Linked DNA regions of Canis lupus familiaris. The protein of the gene in region 2 purifies or fractionates together with the protein of the main gene of each other region. This does not show direct contact. Links are inferred from orthologs where the notes say so. Each region holds a gene or a part of one and is shown on either strand. Other genes may lie near its edges.

Region 1 (5,405 bases), on a different chromosome or scaffold from region 2:
CTCGAGTGGTACGGCGGGGATGGGGGACCCCCCAGGAGGTGCCTGATCCAGCCAGGATGTGGGCACAGAGAAGATGGACTTGAAGCAGTGATGTCCGGAGTCTGGTTCTAAAACTCTGACCGTCTGCCTGGCTCTGAAACCAGGCGCTCCTGTTCTAGGACCTGCCCTCCTTGAAGGGTGACAGCCTCAAGCCTGACTGTCGGTGTTTGTGACTGGGTGACCTTGTGTGTGTGTGTCCATGAAGGGTGTGTGGGATTGTACCCTGTGAATGTGTGGTTCTCTGAATGTATGTGTCACCAGGGTGGCCGAGTGTGACTGATGCAGTGGGAGGGGTCCTGGGTGTGAGTGTATGTGTGGCCATGCAGGTTCGGGTTGTGACTGGGATTCTGGGTGTAGCTCTGGGTCTCCTCTTTGAACCAAGAGCCTGCGTGAGATTGTGTGACCACATGGGACATGTTTCCATGTGACTCGATGTATGGTCACTGCTCTGTATACACCATCATCTGGCCGTGGCTCTGTAGGACATGCAGCTGTACGGTGAGGAGACACTGGTGACTGAAACGGCTCCAGTCTCTCCTCATGGAGCACCCAGTCACCTGGGGAGGCGTGTGTGGCCGCGCGCTGACAGTGGGTAGAGAGGGACTGACCTGACCCCACATGGCTTCCGCCCCAGATTCTGTGCCGAACGCCTCCGCTCCCTCTTGCACACCCTGGAGATTGCCGATCTTGCGGACTTCTCTCCCCTCACCCTCCTCGCTAACTTCGCCACCCTCGTCAGCACCTATGCCAAGGGTAAGCTCATCTCCTGCCTCTGCCAGGCCCCCTGGCAGCTGGAATCAGGATCCCAGCAGAGTCCAGGGGGTTGGGACTGGGACCTTCAGGACCTTGTAGGGCTGGGCTCAGGAGTTTGGGTTTTGTTTCGAGTACAGTGAGGTTCCACAGATAGTCCTTGAGCTAGTGAAGCCTTGTGCTCAGATGTATATTTTCAGAGGCTCCCTCTGGCTGCAGAATGGAGTAGGATGGGGGACGAGGCCAGAGAAGCTCTGTGGGGTCACTTACACTGTAGGGTATGGTGGTAAGGAGTTGGCCCTTCTACTTCTGGGAAGTGGGAAGCCATGGAAGATTCCAAGCAAGGGAAGAGCAGAGGCAGGGACCTGAGGCAGGATGGGAGGATGAGAGGGGCTGGAGAGAGATGTGGGACCTGGTACCTAGGATTGGGGGGGCAGGAAGGCATGGCAGGGAGGGGACAAGGAGCTGAGTATAGCACTCAGGTGCCAGGGAGAGGGGACCAGAGACTTTACTGGTCAGCACTACCTCCCCTTCCTTAGCATTAAACTGGCTGAGGGCTCAGTCTGATCCCTGGGGATTACTACTCTATCCTGGAAACCAGGTCAGGCTTCCTGATACCCTGTACCCAGCCTAGAGGATAGAGAGGCTGTCCCCCAAATCAGCATCCATCAGCAGCAAGTCCCACTAGAAGCTTCCTTCCGTGTCCATCCCCCTGTCCTTCCCCTTCTTCCTTCTGGGGCTGGCTTTCTCCTCTTCTGCCCACTTCCCTGTCCACCAACACCTCACATTCTTCTGCCTGGAATGTCTATCCCGATATTCCTTAGCCCCCAACTACCTCCTACTCATCCTTCAGTTCTTGGCTTGTTAAAAATGTTCCCTTCTCCAGGAGGTCCTCCCTGACCCCCCAGGGTGTGTCTCTTCCTCTTGGCTCTCCTGTTCCAGCTCTGTCTACTCTGAGTGGTCACTCTCTGGGGACAGGACTATGAGCCCTGAGAGGGCAGGGCCAGAGATGTCATGGTTCCCACTGTGTCCCCAGTACAGGGCCAGGCACAGAGGATTTTTTTTTTTAAGATTTTATTTATTTATTCATGAGAGACAGAGAGAGGCAGAGACACAGGCAGAGGGAGAAGCAGGCTCCCTGTGAGGAGCCCGATGTGGGACTCGATCCCGGAACTCCAGGATCACACCCTGAGCCAAGGGCCGACGCTCAGTCACTGAGCCACTCAAGCATCCCAACTTTTTTTTTTTTTTTAATTAAGTAAAATTGAATATGTGAATTCATTCATTTGCCTATTTTTTTTTTAAATTTTTATTTATTCATGATAGGCACACAGTGAGAGAGAGAGAGGCAGAGACACAGGCAGAGGGAGAAGCAGGCTCCATGCACCGGGAGCCTGACGTGGGATTCGATCCCGGGTCTCCAGGATCGCGCCCTGGGCCAAAGGCAGGCGCCAAACCGCTGCGCCACCCAGGGATCCCTCATTTGCCTATTTTTAAGAAAAATTTTATTTGTATTTATTCATGAGAGAGAGCGGCAGGGAGAGAAGCAGGCTCCCTGTAAGGAGCCCAGTGTGGGACTGGATCCTGAGACCCCAGGATCAAGACCTGAGCCGAAGGCAGATGCTCAACCGCTGAGCCACCCAGGCATCCCCACCTGTGTTTTTGGTTTTTTTTTTTTTCAACAAATGGGTCCTGCCCAGCACTGAGGAAGTGGCAGAAACCAAGAGGGACCCCATTCCTGATCTCCTGGCAGTTACACTGTAGAGGAGAAGACAAGTAACAAAGACTCAAATAAAAAAGATAATTCCAGAAAGGGATACTTTTTCACAAGAAAAATGTTGCCATGTTGGAGCATGCCTGCAGTGGCCAGGATGGCCAGGGAAGCCCTGAGGTGCTGACATTTGAGCTGAGTTCCAAATGACCAAATGGAACCAGCTGCCTTGGGAAGCTTTTCAGGCTGTGAGGCCAGCAAGTACAAAGGCCCTGGGGTGGAGTGAGCCTGGTGGTTTTTGAAACTTAGGAGGCCTGTGAGCTAGGAGAAAATGGGTCAGCGTGGCGGGTTCTCGCAGATAATTTTGGACTCCGGAAGGAGTATGGGGAGCTGTGCAGGGCTTCTGAGCAGGGCAGGGATGTGACCTGAATCAGAATTTTACAGGGTCCCTCTGCTTCTGGGAGGGGAGCAGGGGCAGCAAGAGCTGGATGCCCAGTGAGGTGACTGCAATGGTCCAGGCTAGAGGTGATAGTGGGGGAGGGAGTGGGGGCAGTGGTCAGATTGCAGATAGGCTTTGGAGGCAGAGCTTGACCCATGGCTTAGATACCATGATCATGGAAGGCTCCAGGCTTTGGCTTGAGTGGTGGTGTGGGTTCTTAGAGCCTTGAGAGTGTCTGAGGAGTAAACCTTTAGTGCTCTCTGCTCATGATGCTCCCTGAGTGGATGTCAGCCCTGGGAGAAGCGGGCAGGTTGGGGTGTACTTTGGACTCCCAAAGACTGGGTTTTAAGCTTGAGCAACTGGTGGTTGGCCCCAATCACTAATGGGGGGAGGAGGTAATAGACAAGTGGGCTTGGCTATGACCGGTGACCTGGAATCTCACCCGGTTGTAGGTTTCACCATCATCATCGAGCCCTTTGATGACAGGACCCCCACCATTGCCAACCCCATCCTGCACTTCAGGTGAGACCCAACCGCAGTGTGAGGCTGTCAACAGACCACGGGGGCCCAAGCATGGTCCTCACCACCCTCCTCTGCTTCCTATAGCTGCATGGATGCTTCACTGGCCATCAAACCCGTGTTTGAGCGTTTCCAGTCTGTCATCATCACATCTGGGGTGAGGACCCTTATCTGCCCTAAACTCCCAGTCCTCTACTATGGGGATCCTGGTTTCTGCCCGGTCCTGCTAAGATCCCTCCTGCTGTCCCTGCTATAGACGCTGTCCCCACTGGACATCTACCCCAAGATTCTGGACTTCCACCCCGTCACCATGGCAACCTTCACCATGACGCTGGCCCGGGTCTGCCTCTGCCCTATGGTGCGTGGGAGAGGGTGGATGCTGGGCCAGGGGAGATGTGTCAGCTCTCGTCCTCCTGTTCCCTCTCAGGCTGCTCAGGCAGGAGAGTATTAGCCTGAGGGCATAGGCTTTGATTCAGATAGATCTGGGCTTGATGCTACTGCTTCCTGTGGGTCTGACTCCCCAAGCCTCAGTTTCTAACCTGTAACATGGGGATGCATCCTCCCTGACCTCCCAGGGCGGTTGAGGTGATAGTGAGATAGTGGATACAAGATGCTTATGTGGCCCAGAGCCTGGCACCAGTCGGCCCTCAGTCAGCATCTTGGTTAATGTGGGCTTTGCCTGGTTCATCATCTGGTCATGACCTTGATGATGACCCTTCTCTGCCTCAGCCTCCTTTGTAAAACAGGCATCGTAACATGAGCCCTTAATTCCTTATCTGAATCCCTTGGGCCAGATGTATTTTAGAATTGAGAATTTTCCAGATTTTAAAGACAAACCACATGCTGTACAGTATGTGACATCCCCAGTGGGGTCTGGGCAGCTCCCTCCAGTGAAAGTTTTATTTCAGCAGGAACATGTTTTGAAACGTCAAACTAAGGGAGGTAAGTCAGGACTCTGAATAGACTCAGGTCAGGGCAGATTTTGCCACTATAGGAGTTTGCACCAAACTTAAATATCTGGAGTTCCTTGGGTCTTGGAATTGCCCTTCAGGGGTTGTGGACTGGTGACGGCCACATTCTGCATCATGGTTTTGTGGAGTTGCTGGGGGGGGGGAGGGGGGGAAGGGGAGGTGCACCTGTGGCTGGCGGTTGGTGAGGTTGTGGTGGAACCCTTTCTTCTGGAACTGTGTGGCTGGGAGGCTGAGGCCAGTAACACATATTTGCTGGTTAGCAACACAGACAGACTTGGGTTCAGTGTCGGCTCTGCCCTTGATTTGCCACGTGACCTTGGGCAGGCAGGCAGCTCACATCTGGGCCTGAGGTCATCCATCCGTGCAGTGCAGATAACAGGGGAGCTGAGGGTTCACTCAATGACATTGTGTCTATAAAAAGCTCAGCCTGGCACCGGCAGGCAGCTAACGCATCAGAATGGTGCTGTTTGCTTATCGTTTGCTTATTGTGACGTCTGTTGCTCTCTGCAGATCATTGGTCGTGGCAATGACCAGGTGGCCATTAGCTCTAAATTTGAGACCCGGGAAGATATTGGTATGCTGCTCATGGTGGTTTGTGTGGCTCCTGAGAGGGGAGGTGTATCAGTGGGCTAAGTCATGCTGCAGTAACAAACATCCCCAAATTACAGTGGCTTGACACAGAGGTTACTTTTTGCTCACAGTATGTGACACTGTGGACTGGTGGGGGCCTGCCCCGTGGTTTCTCACTCCAGGAACCCTTACCACGTCCCCTAAATTGTGACGGCAAGGATCCTGGTAATGGTGCTGGGCCTCACGAGGGTTTACCTGGAAGTGACACATAGCCACTTCATGCATTTCATTGGCTAGGTCGAGTCACATGGCCACGCCTAACTTCAGGGGCGGGGGGTGGGGTGGGGTGGTGCAGTTCTCTCAGGCCAGAAAGAGAAGTGGAAAGTATGTGAACAGCCCTACTGGT
Region 2 (6,516 bases):
ATTTTGTGGAGAGTTTATAAAGACAGGAGGTACTATTTGGGGGGAGGGGGTTGGAGGTACTATTTTTTTAAGGGTCATAATCATCCTTGAGACACTTGTTGATTTTTACCTCAGCCTATGTGACTTAATGACTGAGAAAGGGATGTTGAAACCTTCCCAACCAATGACAGTATGTATCTTTTTTTTTTTAAGATTTTATTTATTTATTCATGAGAGACTGGAGAGAGAGAGGCAGAGACACAGGCAGAGGGAGAAGCAGGCTTCATGCAGGAAGCCCAACGCGGGACTCCATCCAGGGACTCCAGGATCAGGCCCTGGGCCAAAGGCGGCGCTAAACCGCTGAGGCCCCCCTCCCCCCCCCCAACCTTGTATCATCTTTTTGATTTATGATTGACATCAAACTTGTGAGCAGATGCACACCCTCTGTCATGATTCTTTTTACCCTACTGAAGTAAATGCCCAGCTGACATTCTGAGAAACTGTGATACAATAGGATCATTTTTAGTTTATCAGATATTTCACTAATATTACTTCGTGTAATAATTTAGTTCTCTAAAGAGAAAAATGACATCTGGTATATTTCCCTTTGGTTGGAGATACAAATGCAGTCTGGACTGAGAAAAGTATTTTAAGATTATTCATTTCATTGAACTTCTGCTGTAACTTTTTTTTTTTTTTAATTTTTTTTAAAATTTTTATTTATTTATGATAGTCACAGAGAGAGAGAGAGGCAGAGACACAGGCAGAGGGAGAAGCAGGCTCCATGCACCGGGAGCCCGATGTGGGATTCGATCCCGGGTCTCCAGGATCGCGCCCTGGGCCAAAGGCAGGCGCCAAACCGCTGCGCCACCCAGGGATCCCTTTTTTTTTTTTTTTTAATTTTTTTTAAATTTTTATTTGTAACTTTTGATCTAAAGGTTCTTCCAAATGATCCAGTCTTTCTTGAACCTCATGAAGAAATGATACTCTGCAAATACTATGAGAAGAGATTATTAGAATTCTGTTCAGTGTTTAAGCCAGCAATGCCAAGGTCTGTTGTGGTAAGTTACAATAGTGATAAAGTGTAATGTCCTTTAGCTGACTTCTGAAATCAGAACTTTTCTAAATGTGTAACACAGTTCTCTGCCCACTTTAGGCAAATGTACGTATTCATGTTTTTGTCATTTCATGTATTTTTTGATAAATTCATTAACTTAGGAATTCTGTATCATTTCTTTTTCTTTAAAAAAAAAAAAAAAAAGACTTATTCATGAGAGACACAGAAAGGCAGAGACATAGGCAGAGGGAGAAGTAGGCTCCCTGCAGGGAGCCTGATGGGAGACTCCCAGGATCCTGGGATCACACCCTCCCTGAGCCAAAGGTAGATGCTTGACCACTGAGCCACCCAGGTGCCCACATGAAACTTTTCTTTCAATCCAAAAATAGATAAGTATCTATTTCATTGGTTCTAGTGAAATGACAGAGTAGTTAAAAATACAGGCAGATCTTAGTTGAATCCCTCTGTGTTCCTTATTAGATGTGTGACCCAGTTAATCTCACTGATAGGCAGTTTCCTTCTCTGTGGAGATAGCAATACTTCACCAAGCTGTTGTAAGGATAGAAAAAGATGATAGCTTGGTGCTTGGCACAGAATCTGGCCCATGGGATACAGTTAATAAATGGTAGGTGCTGCTTCTACTATTTAATTTGGCAATACGAGCATAGTTCTACCACACAGAGCCAAAGTGGATTTACAGAGAGGGCTTATTGCCCCAACTGTATTAATTCTGTCCATGTTTTCACGAGATTGGTTAAGCTGTGAATATTTGTATGTTTCTCCTTCATTTTTTCCTAATCTAGTTGGCTTTTGTTATTCTGAAGTCTAAAATAAACACACATAGACTTTTTAAAATTAACTCAGTGACCATAGGAAGGGTAACCAGGGTGGGTGGGGAAGGACAAGAAAAGGTCTTTTGGCTGTGACATTGCTGTAATAATTCATCACAATTTATTTGATTAAAGAAGATTAAGTTTTATATTTGTATCAGAAACTTTTTCAAAGAAACTTTTGCATATGTAAGTTTAAAAGAATTTTATACAAAATTTAACATGGATGTGTGAATAGATTTTGATAATGTATGTATTTTTAATCATAGGGTACAGCTTGTATGTATTTCAAGCGTTTTTATCTTAATAACTCAGTAATGGAATATCACCCCCGGATAATAATGTGAGTATAATTCTAATTTATTGATTTTCATTTAAGAAAATCTTTATTTGTGTGGGGAAAAAAAGAAATGACTTTCTAATAAAGGGTAATTTAGACTTGCTTCCTGTTATGAATTTATACTGTCCTTTTACTCCTATATCCTATATATCTGTAATACTTCCCTCCCTATAGTACTTATGGCATCTGAACTTCAACTTGTTCAAAGTCCGTTTTTCTTATACTAACTTTCCCTAATACCCCTTTCTGTTGGTAGCACCTTTCTTCTCTTTGTTGCTTCCGCTGAGAATCATTTGTGGTACCTCTTCTCCTTCTGTATCAGTGGGTTTAAAAGTCTTATAGCTCCGGATTCATATCAATTGAACAAAAGTCCATTAAAAATAAAGATAAATCTAGTATGAGACTCATCAAAGAGCTTGCTATCAATCACATTCTCCTTATTTATTTTCTCTCTTTTTCATTTCCTTTTCTATCAGTCTAGGCCAGGCCCTTGTTGCTTTCAATCTTGATTTTTATGGTAATTTTATTACTAGATTCTTACTTGATATTTATGGTAGTAGCCATGAGAGTTCCCAAGTTTGTTACTGAGGTGGTAATCTTTTGAAATGCCTTCAGAGTCTTCACTGGTGGTGTTCCTTTCTTCCTACCTTTCTTCCCACCTTTCTTACCTTGCTTCCTTCCCAGGTATATCTGTGTATACTGCTGTGTTCTTCTATCTACATTTCATGATCCAGTGTACTCTTATTTTTCAGTTATTTTTCCAGATATTTATGTTGAACTTTATGAAATTGCCATTAAGTCAATTATGGTTGAATGCTATGGCAAGATTATACAGTTCAACCTAATTATAGTCTTCTAATGGATAAAAAGTTGAAAGAGAAAATTCTTTAAAAAAAAAAATTTCCTGTAATGTCTAGCATCGTCACCTGTTAATATTAGGCATTTTTGGAATTTATTTTAGCAATAAAATACTCAGATATTTCTCAAAGTATGTACAGATCCCATCCTATCCCTTTGGTTTTTTTTCCTCTAGGCTTACTTGTGCATTTTTGGCCTGCAAAGTTGATGAATTCAACGTATCTAGTCCACAGTTCGTTGGAAATTTGAGGGAGAGTCCTCTTGGACAAGAGAAGGCACTTGAACAGATTTTGGAATATGAACTGCTTCTTATACAGCAACTTAATTTCCACCTTATTGTCCACAATCCTTATAGACCATTTGAGGGCTTTCTCATTGATTTAAAGGTATCCTGTCGATATAAAAAGTAAACTAGTAGAGTGTATACCTTTGCTATAGTTCTGTAACCAGAAAAATCAAAATTTTATTATAACTTGTAATATTCCTAATTGTAACAACATGAGTTGCTCTAACATGTGAGTTTAGCTTGGATCTCTAATGTTATAGTTCTCAAACTTCGGTGCCACCTGGAAGGCTTGTTAACCGTACTGTTGGGCTACAGTACCAGAGCTGCTCATTTAGTGGATCTGCATATTGGTCCAGGAACTGTAATGAGGACTATTATCAGTTTAGAGTAATGGTTTTGAAGACTTAAGTTAACTTTTCTAACTCTGAAGTATACTGCCATGGATCTGATTTAAAGAACCACAAAAATTCTTAATTTTAACTAGAAGATTGCTAAGTGATTTTTATTTTTAGTGCATGTGTAGGCATCAAAAACGTAAGTAAATGAACCCTGACAAAAATAACTTGTTTTGTTTGGGTCCTGAAAGGGGACTTGGATAGTGTGAGTGAGGTCAAAATGGAAGTCAAAAACTGGTTCATTCATCTCAGTTGAGTAGCAAAATTTGGGTATGTGTACCATATGCCAAAACATTGTGCTTGAGGATTAAGACAGGAACAGCCTCAACTCTCCTAGGTCTTACAGTCTAATGGGAAAGATAATCATATATTCAGTGTGCTAAGTGTTACAGAAAGAAAGATACAGGATACTTTAGAATGAGATGGGTTGTCGTGAGAAAGGGTCATTTAGAGTGAAAATCAGAGCAAGAGTAGGAATTAGGCAGTAGAATAATACACCAATTAGATTTCTTTGGTCAAAGGTCCAGATTCAAGAAACTGTGGTGCAAGAACCTAAACAGCGTAGAGATAGAGGGGAAAAGACTGCCACAGAGTGCTATCTGGGTGGAAGGTAGAGTCTAGACTGTGGAGGGGATATTAAGGATTTTGAATAGAGCAGTGGGAGACCACTGTAAGGCTGAAGTCTGAGCAGTGGCATAATTAGGTTTGCAGTTTTAAAAATTTTGTTTGGAAGCTCTTGAATCAGTCTGCATCAGCTATTTATTGCACGTATGTATGCGTCAGACATAATATGGAGAATGGATTAGAATGGATGAAAGGATACCAGTAAGATGCTATTATGAGTAGTCCAAGCAAAAGATGGTGGTTGGCTTGACTCATCCAGTGGCTGTGCATATAGAGAGAACTTCCTGGACTTAGGAGATACTAGTCAACCACTAGAGCTTGAGGATTTACTTCCTGTAGGGATTGAGAACAGAGGAGGAACCCCCAGGTTTCTGGCCTAAGAATATAGGTGGATGGTGGTTCAATTCCGGATACAGAAAACGCTGGCATAGAAGAGATTTATTGATAGTGGAGGGGTGGGGTTTGATGAATCTGGTTTGGGACATAATAAATTTCCAATTCCTCCAAGACATTATGAGTGTCTGGAAGTGAGAGATGATGGCTAAGCTATTGGGTGTTGTTACTTCTGGAAAACTTAAACTGGGTTGGCCAAAAGGACCATTTAAAGGGTAGTTAGAGAAGGGTGCCTGGGTGGCTCATTGGTTAAGTACCCAACTCTTGGTTTTGGCTCGGTCATAAGATTGAGCCCCACGTGCTCTGGGAGCACAGTGTCTCCTGGAGATTCTCTCCCTCCGCCCTCCCCCCCCCCACCCCCCTGCTCTCATGCTTGCTCCCTTGCTTGCTCTCTCTAAAAATAAGTTATTTTCATAAATAAATATAGAATAGTTGGAGGAATAGAAGATGCTAGTAAGGAGACTGAAAATATCCAAAGAGATAGGACTTTCTGGAGAAGTGAAGAGAAGTAGAGTACTTTTAGAAGATGAACACAGGTCACTCTCTAACCTGTTCAGAATTCAGGCAAAGTAAAAGCAAAAGGGATAATGTTTGCTGGGTGGAGTGCCGGAAGGGTCATTTGCGATTTTTGTGACATTTGTCTTCATAGAGCATGGAGGAAGAAAGCAGATTGGAGCCAGTTGGGGAATACATAGAAGGTGAGAAAACAGGTATTTATGACATGGATTAAACAGCTTGTCTTTGAAGTGGAAAAAGATGAGTGAGAAGATAGAGGAACTCCTAGAAAGAGATGAGAGAGATGGCTTTTGTTTTGCTTTGTGGAAGAAACTGATGTGGAGAGCTAGTAGTGAGAGAGAGCTTAAAGGAAGAAGTAAAAAATAAGTTCAGCTTTCTCTTTGGAGTAAGGTATAAGGGATTGGCATGAGATTCAAAGCAAAATAGAAGAATTGGCCTTGAGAGAATAATAGCTCTTAGAACAGAGAGAAAGAGGAAAGCATGGGTTGAGGACAGCATTACCCCTGGGGATTGAGGCTGACAGAAAATAGTGTGTCTTTGTTTAAGGCAGAGATCATTTACAGAGAGTGGTGGAATTTCTGAAAACTACCAGAGACGTTGAGACAGGTGGAAAATGTTGAACACCCAGTTACTGAAAAATGGGAGAACTTTTCTATGGGATATTATCATAGCTAGGCAGTGTTGAAAGTCCTCCTGAGGTCAGTGAACTTGAATTTATAATAATAGTATCAGACCTCTTGGTGGTACTATTTTCTATTGCAGCACCAAGAAATGTGGATATAGTTACAAAGCAGAAGATTGCTTGGATTCAGCCGTTGTTAAGGCTCTGTCTGAAATATATTGGCAGCATATTGAGGCAGGGAATTCTGGAGGGAAATGAGGATCCGTGGACATTGGTAAGTAGGAGCAAGTAGAGGGATAAGGGACCAAAGGTTCTGAAGAGGAAGTCAGGGAATAGCTGTGAAGTAATTGAGGAAATATGTTGAGGGAAAGGAGCACTGTGGTCAGAGTGGAATGTCTGAATTTGTCATAGTAGAGGTCAGCCATTTCAGGAGAATAAGATTTGAGTGTGACTGCAGTTGACTCAGGATATTTTGTGTGGAGCAAAGAAGATATTTCTTAGTGCCTTGGGACTTGAATGTGGATTTCTGAAATAGATCTGAGGGTTTAGGATTTAGAGAACAGCATAAGAGTTTTTAGGAAATACAGGCTCTTCCATATTTCCTGGGCATATTCTA

Evidence for each region.
Region 1: the proteins of CCNH (region 2) and ERCC2 purify together in Homo sapiens (affinity purification with mass spectrometry; 3 studies listed by BioGRID and IntAct, counting the BioPlex papers as one, with this or other methods). This does not show direct contact. The link is inferred for Canis lupus familiaris from reciprocal best matches to the Homo sapiens genes CCNH and ERCC2.

Annotation. Positions count from the first base shown.
Region 1 is NC_049222.1:110,894,256-110,899,660, forward strand, and holds part of ERCC2 (general transcription and DNA repair factor IIH helicase subunit XPD), read left to right. Parts: intron 1-673; coding exon 674-792; intron 793-3,391; coding exon 3,392-3,461; intron 3,462-3,545; coding exon 3,546-3,615; intron 3,616-3,714; coding exon 3,715-3,816; intron 3,817-4,939; coding exon 4,940-5,003; intron 5,004-5,405. UniProt on the Homo sapiens protein: ATP-dependent 5'-3' DNA helicase. Component of the general transcription and DNA repair factor IIH (TFIIH) core complex, not absolutely essential for minimal transcription in vitro.
Region 2 is NC_049224.1:21,182,343-21,188,858, forward strand, and holds part of CCNH (cyclin-H), read left to right. Parts: intron 1-917; coding exon 918-1,040; intron 1,041-2,135; coding exon 2,136-2,209; intron 2,210-3,239; coding exon 3,240-3,450; intron 3,451-6,516. UniProt on the Homo sapiens protein: Regulates CDK7, the catalytic subunit of the CDK-activating kinase (CAK) enzymatic complex. CAK activates the cyclin-associated kinases CDK1, CDK2, CDK4 and CDK6 by threonine phosphorylation.